Linked DNA regions of Drosophila melanogaster. The protein of the gene in region 2 interacts with the protein of the main gene of each other region in a pairwise test. Each region holds a gene or a part of one and is shown on either strand. Other genes may lie near its edges. The genes, in order: CG7407, Drsl4, CG18508 and CG31600.

Region 1 (3,219 bases), about 19 Mb from region 2:
ACCTCAGTGACCACCTGGCGGGGATTGCATCCGGGCTATACTCACTGGCAAGGGTAGGAACAACCAGATCCGCAGCTGCAGCCATTGTCTTCCAATCTCACACGCACACACACACAGGAACAAGCACGTCGGTGGTGTTGTTGCTGTTGTTTTTGTTGTCGTGTCGTCTGATGTACAATCAGTGTTGGTCAACGATTTCGTGCTTGAATTGGTCACACACGGTTGCCGTGTACGCGGTGTATCGATAAGCGATAGTAAACATGCATGGGCATTGGCGCCACAACGACACGTTTAAACATCAACCAAACCAAACCGAACGTATTTAGAACTCCAACAAAATATCTGCTCCACGTGAATTTAAAAACATTTTAGTACTAAAAAATTTGGAACAGAAACGCTAAGCATTTCGACTGCTCCAATCGAAGGTGTGCTGATGGAATCTATATGTTAGAACAATTATTTTCAAAAATCCAATCGCGGCATATAAAATATGAGCGGTTATTTTCGGATATTTGGCTAGGAAACGGTAGGAAATATTTAGAGTATATATTACATCTTAACACAGCTAAACATTCTTTATTGAACAAATAAATCCAAAGTTATATGAACACAATTTAAATCTAACCAACGAATTTGGCGATTAATTGTGTTTAAATCTATACACTTTCTGATCGCGAGTTTTTATCTTGTAACACGTTAAAATATATACATATATTCTTAATTCGAAAGCTGATTTAAGAGACTAAGAGCCGAACAGCCATTTACTACAAATCTAAATCAGATATTAATAACACCAGGAACTCACAAAATACATAGATCGAAGTGGAATACATATAATTTACATACAACTAAGATATTATATTCCGACATCATCGACTGATGAGATAGCTCTCTGACTAAAGACTTGCCCGCACTTAGTGGACCGTATGAGGCAACACCAAATCTTGGAATTTTAAACATTAAACTAATAGATCACACAAGTCTGTACATTCAGGTAGGGTGAGCCCAGGCTCGGCGCCACTTCAGCGATAGAGCCGCACCTGCTGCTTGAGATCCTGGTCGCTTATTCGGTCCTGGAGGTTCAATTCCGCCTCCTGTTTGCGCAGGAGCTCAAAGATGGCCGCCAGCTGCTCGCGCTCTATTCGGCGCTCCTCCTCGATTTGGCTGGGAGTCAGGGTCTTCTCCATCTTATGCTGGAGCCTCTTGGCCTTGAGCTGGCCCATCAGGTGGTTGTAGCTGTGCTCGGGCAGCTGTTCCTCGATTAGCTCAACTTCGCTTTCGGTGGAGTTCTCTTCGTAGGCCTCGTCATCGTCGGTTTCCTCCCCTTGCGGAGTCCGTGACTCGGAATCCTCCTCATCGCGCGGCTCGTCGGCCCCCAGGCCCTCGTCCTCCAGTTCCTGCAAGATAATGTAAGGAAATATTCCAGGAGACGTCTACTTCTTCCGGCAAAAACACCCACGCCTTTGTCCTTGAAGATGTTGGCGAAGTAGAAGGCGACCAAAACGCACAGCAGAAGGGTGACCAGCGCTACCGAGTAGTGGCCTGGTAGTCCAAGAAAGAGAACATCCAGCGAAGGCAGAAAATCCTGCATTTCGAACTCTTTTTGCTATTTGTTGTGACTGAGTTCACTATTCTTGTTTTTCTTGGGGCGCAGTGTGGCCGTTAGCTGCGAACGAAATATTGCCAAGCAGCGCTAAGCGGATTTTCAAAAGGTTTTTTTTTTAATATTTTATATATTGGAAAAGTGAAGTACCTAATCCAACTTTGTTTAGTAAACTAACACTAAACGCATACATTTTAACAATCAAGAAATGGTAAATTACAAAATGCTTTAATATCGATGAAATCCACGCAGTAGTAGATCATCACATCATTTAAATAAATATTCTTAAGTCTATTGGCTGATGTTCATAGCAGATGTGTCCGAGCTCACATCTGCAATGTGGAATGAGGCATCTTCGGCGGGCATGTCATCCTCATCGGTGTACAATCGGCGTAGGCGCTCCTTATAGCTTTTAAAGTATAAGGGTTATTAAATTCGGAATGCATGAACAAATTAGGGCGTCTTACAGTTCGCTATCAGGATTATTGGCTTGATTTCGGCACTTGTCCAACTTTTTCTCGATGGCCTTGACCTTCTCCCGATCGGGCTGCTGATATTGCTTCACCATTATGCGAATTTCTGTCGGGAAAAAGGCATGTAGGGCTGGGCGCACCATCTCACAGCACAAACTTACTTCGCACGGCATCTATGAGTCCGGGTAGCTTCTCCCTGGCGGAGACAAACAGAAGATCCGTCACATAGCTATCGAGATTCTCTTGCTCTCTGCTGGCCGCGTGGAGGACGGCAGCCAATGCAATTTGCGAAGGCGTATGCAGAAGACAGGCATCCGAGTAGTACGTGGAATCAATGAAACTATCAATATGTGGCCGCAGACGATCTGGATTCTGCATATTGCTGCGAGTCTGAAACAAACCAATATGAACGAAACAATCTGGAGAGCAAATGTGAATATATATCGCACTTTTATATCTATCAGGAAACCCTCGATGGGTCTGAACGGATTGTGTATGGTGAGGTAGTAGTTGAGCTGTCCAATCAGCAGTAATTCATTGGACAACACTATGTCGGTGGCCTTGTTCCTGTCGCCCTTGATGTTGTTTACGAACTGGTTGATGGACACGTTGAACTCCTCAACTTTGCAGGCAACGAACACGCATGTGGCTCTGAAAAGGTTTATACATTTTTAGAATGTTTTGCTTTTCAGCTGGGTGTTTGCTGCTCTCAGGTGAGCGTTCCTACAGAATCTCCTTGGGGTGATAGTCCATGGGGGAGTTGTTCAGATAGAACCGCTTGAAGTAGTGGAAGGCCGTGCCCACAACGCACTTGGGCATCGTCGGTTCGAAGCGGCGGCAGAAATCGAACAGGTAGATCTCGTACTGCTTCAGCAACAGGCGCTCCTCCGCCGACGTGAGAAAGTGCTCATTGAGGTCGCGACCCTGCGCCTCCTCCTCGTGCGACTCGATGTACTTGCTGTTCTGCTCCACGCGGAACTCCATGAGCTGGCCCTCATTGGCGAATGTCCAGGACCTCTTTTGCGAGCTCACAGGATACATCTTGCTCAGCTGCCGGCGAATTTATGCCGATTCGAAACTCAGACACCCTGCATGGTGTTACCGATTGCGGGACGGAGAAAAATACCAGTTGTGAAAAAATAT
Region 2 (2,424 bases):
GGAAAATTAAAAATGGCTTATTAATAATCTGCCGACATTGATTTTATGCAATGTGCCATTTATCACGAGACTTCTAGGAAACTAATTAAACCAGTTTCATTAATTAAATTTATTCATAAATTGTAAAACTGTCGAGTTTGTTAGGAAAACCCAGAACCGGATTCAAACACCAAACTTGCACTTTTCGATGTAACACGGTTGATAATTTGTTGGAAATATTAACATGACAAGATTATCTTTATTTCCCATAAAGTGATATGGGTGCTGGTAAATGAAGATTTGTGTTCATAAATGAAAATGGCCTTTCCAACTCTTGTTAAGACTGAAATAGTCTATGCTTTTTTTTTCTTAAATGCTTATTATGAGTTGAATTATATATTCCACTTCTTTCTAAATGAATTTTAGCTTTCTATTGAAGTTAACTCTGATTATTTATCATTTAATTATTTCTTCCATTCCATTATAAATCTCATTTTCGAAGTAAATTTATGATTTTAAAAGGATTCGTTCTTTAAGTAGAAATAAAACTGTATTATTTGCTGTGAAGTATATTCTTTATTTTTCTTTTCAAAACAATAAAAAACATATGACACACATATGTGTCAAACATATTGGACGATGAGGATCCTCAGCATTGTTCGCACCAGCACTTCAGACTGGCACTGCAGTGTCCACTGACACGTCCTTCCTCCCTGCAGAGGCGACGGCACTGCTCTCCATCCCAGGCCCAGCAAGGACCACTGAATCTTCCAGATGGGCAATCCACGGCCGAAGCCGAGTTGGCCACCATTAGGACAATGGTCACCACAGCGAGGAGAGCAAACAATCCTTTAATTTGAGCCATTATTAGAATGTTCTTCTGGTTAAAATCTTTACTTTTGAGTTTCTTGAGTCCGACTGCACTCTTATATAGGTACAGAATTTGTATATTAACCGATTAGCATAAAGGTGAAAATGCAAATAACTGCAATATAACTTTCGAAAGGCATACTTTTGGGCCTTTTACGCGACAAAACGCGCATCGCTATTTTGGGATGATAGAATTGCTATACCTTCTTGATGTTGATGCACCTTTTTGTTTAATATACTTACCACATACATATTAAATCAAATCAAGAGATAACTCCTGAAAGGCAATGCTTACGTGCCTTTTACTGTGCGGTGTACAGTATATTTATTATTGGCTCAGAATAAACAAAAAAACAGCATGCACTTTTGAACTGCAGTGGATCTAGCATCCTTCGCACCAGCACTTCATTGCGCCACTGCAGTGTCCACTGACATGTCCCTCCTCAATGCAGAGACGGCGGCACTTTTCTCCACTCCAGGCCCAGCAAGGACCTCCGAAAGTTCCAGATAGGCAATCACGTGCCAAAACAGTGTTGGCCTCCATTAGGACAATGGTCATTACAGCAAGGATAGCAAACAGGAATATCATCTGCACCATGACAACTGATGTTTTCAACGAGTCGGGAATTTTACTTGAGTTCTTAAAGACTTTTGGCATCGACCACTCGTGGGGACGCTTATATAGAGATACAGATTTTAAGATTTTTTATTTGATCGTAGCAATCGATAAGCTTCTCGGAAATTCAAGCTAACAATAACCGATATAATCCTAGTTTTCCAGAAACACTTGATTTATGTGTGCCATGTGTCAACTTCATTGATTTAAAAATGCATCGTTATCATAATAAGTTATTTACCTAGAATTGCTATCTTTTCGATTTAATGATGTATGTAAACATTCACTTCTCCTAACACATTGCCATACAGGAAATTAAAAGACAACAGTGCGTATGAGTGATAAGCGTAAGAGGCCTTTATATTTATATATTATTTGTTTAGAATGAAATATTCAATATACACATTTCAAATGGATATAGTATGGATTCAGCATCCTTCGCACCAGCACTTCAGGCTGGGACTGCAGTGGCCACTGATATGTCCCTCCTCCTTGCAAATACGTCGGCACATCTCGTTGTCCCAGACGGCGCAGGGACCCTTGTATTTGCCGGAAAGGCAATCGGCATCAGCCATATTGGCGGCCAGGACAACAATTGTCATCACAGCCAGGAAGACGAAAAGGAATTTGATCTGCACCATTGCAACTGATGTTCCGAACGAGTCTGGTACTTTACTTGAGTTCTCGAAGACGTTTGGTATCGACAGCTTGTGGGGACGCTTATATAGGACTACACCACCTCCATGCATTTCCAATAATCTTTTTTAGCACGTTTCAAAATCTTTTGTGATGCATTTGCTCAGTGGCTAGGTGCCTCAACTTTGATGTCACACATGTGCTCCTATCTGAATTCGATAAGCTTCCAAGAAACTCGAGGCAGAGCTCGCAATCTTGCCCATTGCTGCAATCGATAAAATGAATCAGGGAATCAGGAAGTACCAGTGACCCCTGATTGTATC
Region 3 (3,085 bases), on a different chromosome or scaffold from region 2:
TGTATAATTTGGATAATAATTGCTGTTTAATCGGCCGTTTATTTATGTTATCCATTATGTTATTATAATCATAACAGTTTCATTGCAGTTTGGCGGGATATTTAAAAAGATTTTGGAAAGTAGTTTAGAACGGTAAGGTAAACTTTGTGCAGCTCAAGACACAACTTTTGGGTTTATTGATTACGCATAATTTTCGGAAGTAATTCTTTTTCTTTCTTCTCACTTTCCTCCAAATGAATGAATTCCACTCGCTTTGTGTGAAAATTCTGCTTAATCAGACTTAACCCTGACACAATTTTGCCGGTTCTCACAACTTGAACTTCGTTGGGGGCCGACTAAAATGGAAGACCGAAATCTTGAAAAACTGCAAGCCAAGTAAGAAAATGGCTTATATAAAATGGATGGCGCAAAGGCAGAAGTATTCAGTGTTTCCGTAGATACCAAGATGGGTAAGCTTTGAAAGTAATATTAGCTAAAGAACACATTTCATATCGTATATATTTCATATATCAGGCGCCTTTAAAAATTCCCTGCTGCTGCTGACACTTCTGCTAGCCATCCATTTGGAGGCATCCAAGATAGTCTACAAGAAGCCGCTCTATGGCAATAGCAACATCATCAAGGACAAGCGTATAAAGACGAAGCCCGTCAAACTGGAAACCAGCACCATGAGCAGCACTGGTGTTGCAAGTAGCAGCACAACAGCCGAAGAGGATTGGCCCACGGCCGTTGAGTTTGTGATTATGACAACGCCCGCAAGCGAATTGGAAGCCAGCACGGAAACCATTGGTAACAATGGCACCACCGAAACGACCGTTGGCGAGGCACCCATCATCGGATCGTCGGAAGGATCCACACGATCGATGGAGCCAACCACCGCGAGTCCGCTGATGAGCACAAACCCATCGAGCAGCAGCAGTCTGGTTAGCACCATTCCCTTGCCACCGACAGCGGGACTGCCTGTGCAGGATAATCAGCCAGTGCCGTGCACATGCGGCGTCTTCCTCTCCTCGCAAATCCCAAATGGCTTGCCGACAAAGCCACTTATCCACCAGGAATTGGATCATATGTTTCCCTGCAATGCCATCGGTCGCAAGCAGTGTCAAACCAAATGCCTAGAGACGGTGAGTACTGGGGAAACGAGGAGGAAAAGATGAGGAGAAGCGCTCTATAACTCACCATTTCGTCCATTTTAGATCGTACAACATCTGCCGAATTCCGCAAATATAGTATGCTCCGCACTGGGTCACGATTGTCACAAGGAACGGGCCTATTTGTTCATCAAGAACTGTCACAATCAATGGGTTAATACCAATCTGCAGGCGGGCAGGGAGTACTGTTGTCGCTCTGGCGTTCCCTACCGTTGCCCATTGATGGGTTAAGCACTGTGCAAATGAAATAAATATATGATATGACAAAATTTCAACTGTATTGTAAATGCGCATGGTGTTAAAAAATCTAAAAAAAAAAGCAAAAAAAAAGCTAAGGTGTGCACATAAGGGTTAATAGATTTCAAACGGTTTGGTTCGAGTCCGGACTATATTAGTCCAACCGGTTGCGTTCTTTGCTAGAGAGTACGTATTTTTTTTTTTTAAGATAACAGTATATGCGTGGCGTTTTTAGGCTCAATACCAAACACAAGTGAACTGGCTACACTGACATTTTTGACAATAAATAAATAGTTGAATTAAGGAAATCAAAGCGAGAAATACTTTTTTTCCGGAGCCAGTAAGCTAACATTAAATAGGTACGTTCCGCAATTGTTGTAATCACTTGCAACGCCAATAACTAACCATTTTTAAAGCCCGAACAATGGTTTGCGTGCCCTGTATTATCATTCCACTGCTTCTGTACATTTGGCACAAATTTGTGCAGCCGATCCTGTTGCGCTACTGGAATCCCTGGGAGAAGAAGGACGACGATGGCAATGTGATCAAAAAGGGACCCGACTTCCCATTCGAGTGCAAGGGCGGCGTTTGCCCCTTCGTTCCGGGCGGCAAGAAGACGGAGAACGTCAGTGATGACGATGCCGAGGAATCTGAAAATCCGCCATTGAATGCAACAGCAATGGCAGCGGAAACGGAAGTGGACGAGTCCAAGAAGGAGATCTAGTCGAAATGTTCCAAATATTGTAATTTAACACATAGTACATTTTTTTTTTTTTGTTATGTTTTGACATAAGAGCGGAAAACACAACGCACACAACACAAGGACACAAATCCAACGTGGTGGGCGGCGATCGTTTGGTAAAGGAGGGGGAGGGGGCGTGGCCCTTGAAGAGCGGCAAGAACGTCTAAAGTATAATTAACTTGCAATTAAATGTACACTTTGACACGCGAAAAAACTGCTCTTTTCCTGCGGGTTTGTGTGTGTGTGTGTCAAGAGTTAAAGGTTAAAGGTTAACTCCACGCAGTTCCAATATGAAATATGGTATTTAAACTTTGTTCCAGCTGCAACAACGCAGAGCTGAAAAATTCGCCTTTATATGTTGTATATGTATATAATTAATGAAATAAACACACGGCTTTTAAAATAATTATTTAATATTTATTATTTATGTCAAAAAGTTTGCAGTTTCGTTTTGCTGTCTGGCTGTTTAAGTTAGGAAAACAAATAATTTTACAATTTACACATTAAAAACTTACACACAAAATATAGACGAAAGAAAGCAATACCGTTCAAATTAAAATTAATGCAAATCGAACGAGAAAATTCGTATTTTGCAGTTTTCTCTAAGTGTGTGCGTTTTTTTTCTTTCTGTTGCATATTTTTTGAAAATATCTTTTCATCAACTTAGATCGTAGATCGTCGAGTGTCCTTATATATATAGTAAACTTGGCTGGTTACTGTCTTTTTCGTGGTTTTTTCCTTTTTTTTCTTCTTTTCTTTCTTTCTTTCAATTAGACTTATACGTTTCCATTGGTGATTTTTGTGTAATTTTTTTTGCAAATCCTTTTGTATTTTGTATGTGTCAACTTAAATCAAACAGTTATGAGAATCTTTTTACAGTTTAGCTTAGTCAATATGTAATAATACATAATAGTCATAATAATAATAATAATAATAAAAAAAAAAAACTTGGTGT
Region 4 (3,324 bases), on a different chromosome or scaffold from region 2:
TAGAAAGCACTGTTCATACATCTACCTTAGGTCACGCCTTCGTTCATGCATTTTCCACAATTGATTTCCTGATATTATCTATATACATTTTTAAACCAAAAAAGACAATAAATTATAATTTGGAAAAGCAAACCGGTACATTTTCAGACCAATAATAACGGTATGGAATTGTCAAAAATGTGTACGTTTTGCTTAATGTGAATTGTTTTTCCATTCCGAAAGTTTATTTTGCCTTCTAATACTCACTTCCGTTTCCGCTGCACAAGACCAAAGTGTGTTTCCGCTACCCTATTACCACTCCATTCGCCATTTGAAACTTTTTTCGTACTCATCGAACGAATTATAACAAAACCAATTTTCCATGACAAAAAGACAACAGGAAAAAACCAAATTACAAATCAGACAATTAAATACTCATACTCAATACTCGCAAAATGTTTGACATTTATTAATTAAAAATAGGATAAACTGTATATTAATTTTATTCAAATTGTCATCGGCAATAAAAGACAGCTTATTTCAATTTATTTCTTTGTTCCATTTCGATTTGTCATCTACATATTGTATGCAATACAGTGGCATAGATTAAAACAATACAAACATTACAAGAAACTGCATTTAGTACTCAAGAATGGTTACATGGTAGTGTATAGAGTAGTAGTATTTGGTTAGGGTTAATAAGGCTAATGTTTCAAAATGTGTTTTTAACTAAATCTATTAGTACCGCAAGCCCGTGTGTAATAACTCTTTTATGTTTCCTTTCGCCGATCAAAGAAATACATTTCTTCAAAAGCGTTGCAGCAAGAATAAGTAAAATTACCAGTTCCACAAAAATAGCCAATCTGAGCTGCAAATGACTTATATGTTGTATCGGCATAAAAATGTTTTTAACAAAGTCACTGCAACCTTGGGTGATAAGGTCGGGATGGTAGCAGTGGGTTGGAACCCCTTGTAGATAATCCATATAAGAACGGGGACCCTCCAGTCCACAGCATAAAACCTGTGAAAAGCAAAACCCTTGAAAGGGCAAATGAGCAAAGGCATAACACATACCGCATTTTCAATCGAAGGCCAATCTGTCTCGTTAAAATTGGAGTATGCCAGCCATTTAAGGTTTAAGCTATCCATGAATGTACTATAGCTCCTGTTCATGGCTTCTAGTTGTTTTGAAATTGTGAAGTAAGTCCAATGAAGGACGAGTATCTGCAGCGGTATAAGCTAATTTACAATTATCAACCTCACGTTTTTTTTTTGGTAAAGTCCTTACCCCGAGAACAAGCCAATCATCACGCAAATTGGCTAAGTATAGGCTGACCAAATTCAGGCAAATGGTAATGGAAACGGTACTTGTTAGAAAATTAAAACAGTTAAGCACATTAATGGTTATTTCAGCGCTTTTAAGTCGCAGAGTAAAGGGTATAATTACTCGAAATAACACAGCCAATACAAGCTAAGTGTAGAAAAGTTGTCAGTAAAAACTTGAAGACGGGCTGCTGATTAAATACTTACCCCAAATAAAATAGCAGTTAGCTTTTTTATCATGCCCTCTACCATTTTGAGAATTATTTTAATATACGTAGCTCAATTTTATTCTACGCAAATTGACAAAATATTCGAAGCTGGAAATAATGGCCTACCACATAAATTCAAATTTTTGTTTTCCCAATTATGTATGTATACGAAATCACGCAGGTTTTTCTATTTGTGTTTCAATTCCTTTTTTCTGGCAAAATTTCATTGTTGATTTATGGGATTTGCTATTTTTGACAGTTGTTTTTGCTACAACGAATGAGAGTGTGTGCGATAACTGTTTGTAGGTATAAACATGATTTTATAATCGGCTTTCTATATTAATTTTAATTTTATTTTCGGCATTTTATTATAATTACTCTTGATATATGTAAATGGTCATCGTTAGCAAAATTATCATTCCGTATATGGCTGTATTGTTGCTGCACTTGATGTCCACATGGATGTCCCTCAACTCGTTAGGAAATTTACTACGCACTTTTTGTTGTGGGTTTTCAGTTCGCCAATGGGCCATGCGAAAAAATATTTCTGTGGCTTTAAATATTTTAATTGTCGCTGTTGGCTCTGTTCTGTTATTTCATAATCGTATGCTCTTTGTTGTAAGTCAAAAAGGGTGTAGTTCGAAATGCACAATAAAAATTGTAATATTTTGGCAAAATATTTATAATTATTAATGCTAATTTCAACAAATCCAATGCATTTCTGGCATTCTATTTGGACGATGGCTAAATACTTTGGTGTTTTGTATCTGTTTGTGATATTTTAATTTTACTGTCGCATTTGATCATAAATTAAGCGATTAACAAATAAGGGGCACCGTGGGTTATGGGTGCTCTTTTGAATTCCCTCGATGTGGCAATGGATGGAAGGGGCCAGTAAAACTATATTGCTTTTGATAAATGCCGATGGTTAGGACTCAGAGTGCGCCGCATTGAGCGGTTTAGTACTTAGTACTCAAGTGATATTAGAATTCCTGGTAGATTAAAAAAAATAACAAAATAATTGAAATATGAAAATGTGTCAGAAATGTTTCATTTAATCATATCCAATCGCGTTTGCCATTCAAATAAATCTCAAAATATATAAAAACAAATTTTTTACATTACAGTGAAGTTTTTGATAAGCCATGTTCGATACAACTAAATACTTTCCGCGTTCAGTTGATTCCGAGCATCCGTCCCAGTCGGAGCACAATGAGTCCTTGTCACTGGATCATGTCGTCACCTACGATATGGTCCATAACCCGGAGGGAAGATCACCTGATCACAGTGTCATCGAAATGACATCGGAAGCTGACCGGCATATAGGACACGATGTCACTTCATCTCCCCAATTGATGATTATATTTGAAGAAGGCGACATCAACAGTGCACTGCACTTTATTATTGAGTCGGTTCATAATCCCTTTGCCTCGAATGCGGTGGCCATGGTTCTGGTTGAAGAGAAAATTCGCGGGGAGATCGTCGAGCGAATCCTGTCTAAGCTACATCCTCTTAGTAAGTTTGTGGCCGAACATCCTAGCTATCTGGCAGCACTGGAGAAATGCCACACCTCCAACTTTAACATAATAAGGGCCTGCATTTCGGAGGTTGCCCCACCAATGGCTTCACCCATTTTTGTGTGTGACTGTACGCACGATAAGCTGGGAAGTTACCCAACTGGAGTAGTAACATTTCACACATTCCGCAATAACCAGGAGGCCATTGCCATAAGTCAGTGCGAATCGTTGGCCTTCGCATCCGTCTCCATTTGGAACGAAACGCTAACTGGATGCTACGATCTCGTGGCGGCCCT

What was found.
Region 1: the proteins of Drsl4 (region 2) and CG7407 interact in a two-hybrid assay, tested with the Drosophila melanogaster proteins (one large-scale study listed by BioGRID).
Region 3: the proteins of Drsl4 (region 2) and CG18508 interact in a two-hybrid assay, tested with the Drosophila melanogaster proteins (one large-scale study listed by BioGRID).
Region 4: the proteins of Drsl4 (region 2) and CG31600 interact in a two-hybrid assay, tested with the Drosophila melanogaster proteins (one large-scale study listed by BioGRID).

Annotation. Positions count from the first base shown.
Region 1 is NT_037436.4:21,821,904-21,825,122, reverse strand, and holds CG7407 (uncharacterized protein), read right to left. Parts: upstream 1,663-3,219; 5' UTR 1,592-1,662; coding exon 1,460-1,591; intron 1,398-1,459; coding exon 1,023-1,397; 3' UTR 552-1,022; downstream 1-551. Other genes in the region: eIF2A (eukaryotic translation initiation factor 2A), read right to left, coding at 46-85; CycH (cyclin H), read right to left, coding at 1,895-2,012, 2,071-2,182, 2,238-2,466, 2,526-2,727, 2,804-3,117.
Region 2 is NT_037436.4:3,314,057-3,316,480, reverse strand, and holds Drsl4 (Drosomycin-like 4), read right to left. Parts: upstream 862-2,424; 5' UTR 845-861; coding exon 629-844; 3' UTR 539-628; downstream 1-538. Other genes in the region: Drsl3 (Drosomycin-like 3), read right to left, coding at 1,232-1,447; Drsl2 (Drosomycin-like 2), read right to left, coding at 1,894-2,106.
Region 3 is NC_004354.4:3,171,707-3,174,791, reverse strand, and holds CG18508 (uncharacterized protein), read left to right. Parts: upstream 1-1,651; 5' UTR 1,652-1,747; intron 1,748-1,804; 5' UTR 1,805-1,812; coding exon 1,813-2,112; 3' UTR 2,113-2,524; downstream 2,525-3,085. Other genes in the region: Fcp3C (follicle cell protein 3C), read left to right, coding at 398-449, 514-1,124, 1,197-1,382.
Region 4 is NT_033779.5:21,913,749-21,917,072, forward strand, and holds CG31600 (uncharacterized protein), read right to left. Parts: upstream 1,611-3,324; 5' UTR 1,555-1,610; coding exon 1,510-1,554; intron 1,451-1,509; coding exon 1,268-1,450; intron 1,219-1,267; coding exon 1,054-1,218; intron 1,001-1,053; coding exon 692-1,000; 3' UTR 521-691; downstream 1-520. Other genes in the region: CG11634 (uncharacterized protein), read left to right, coding at 2,657-3,324.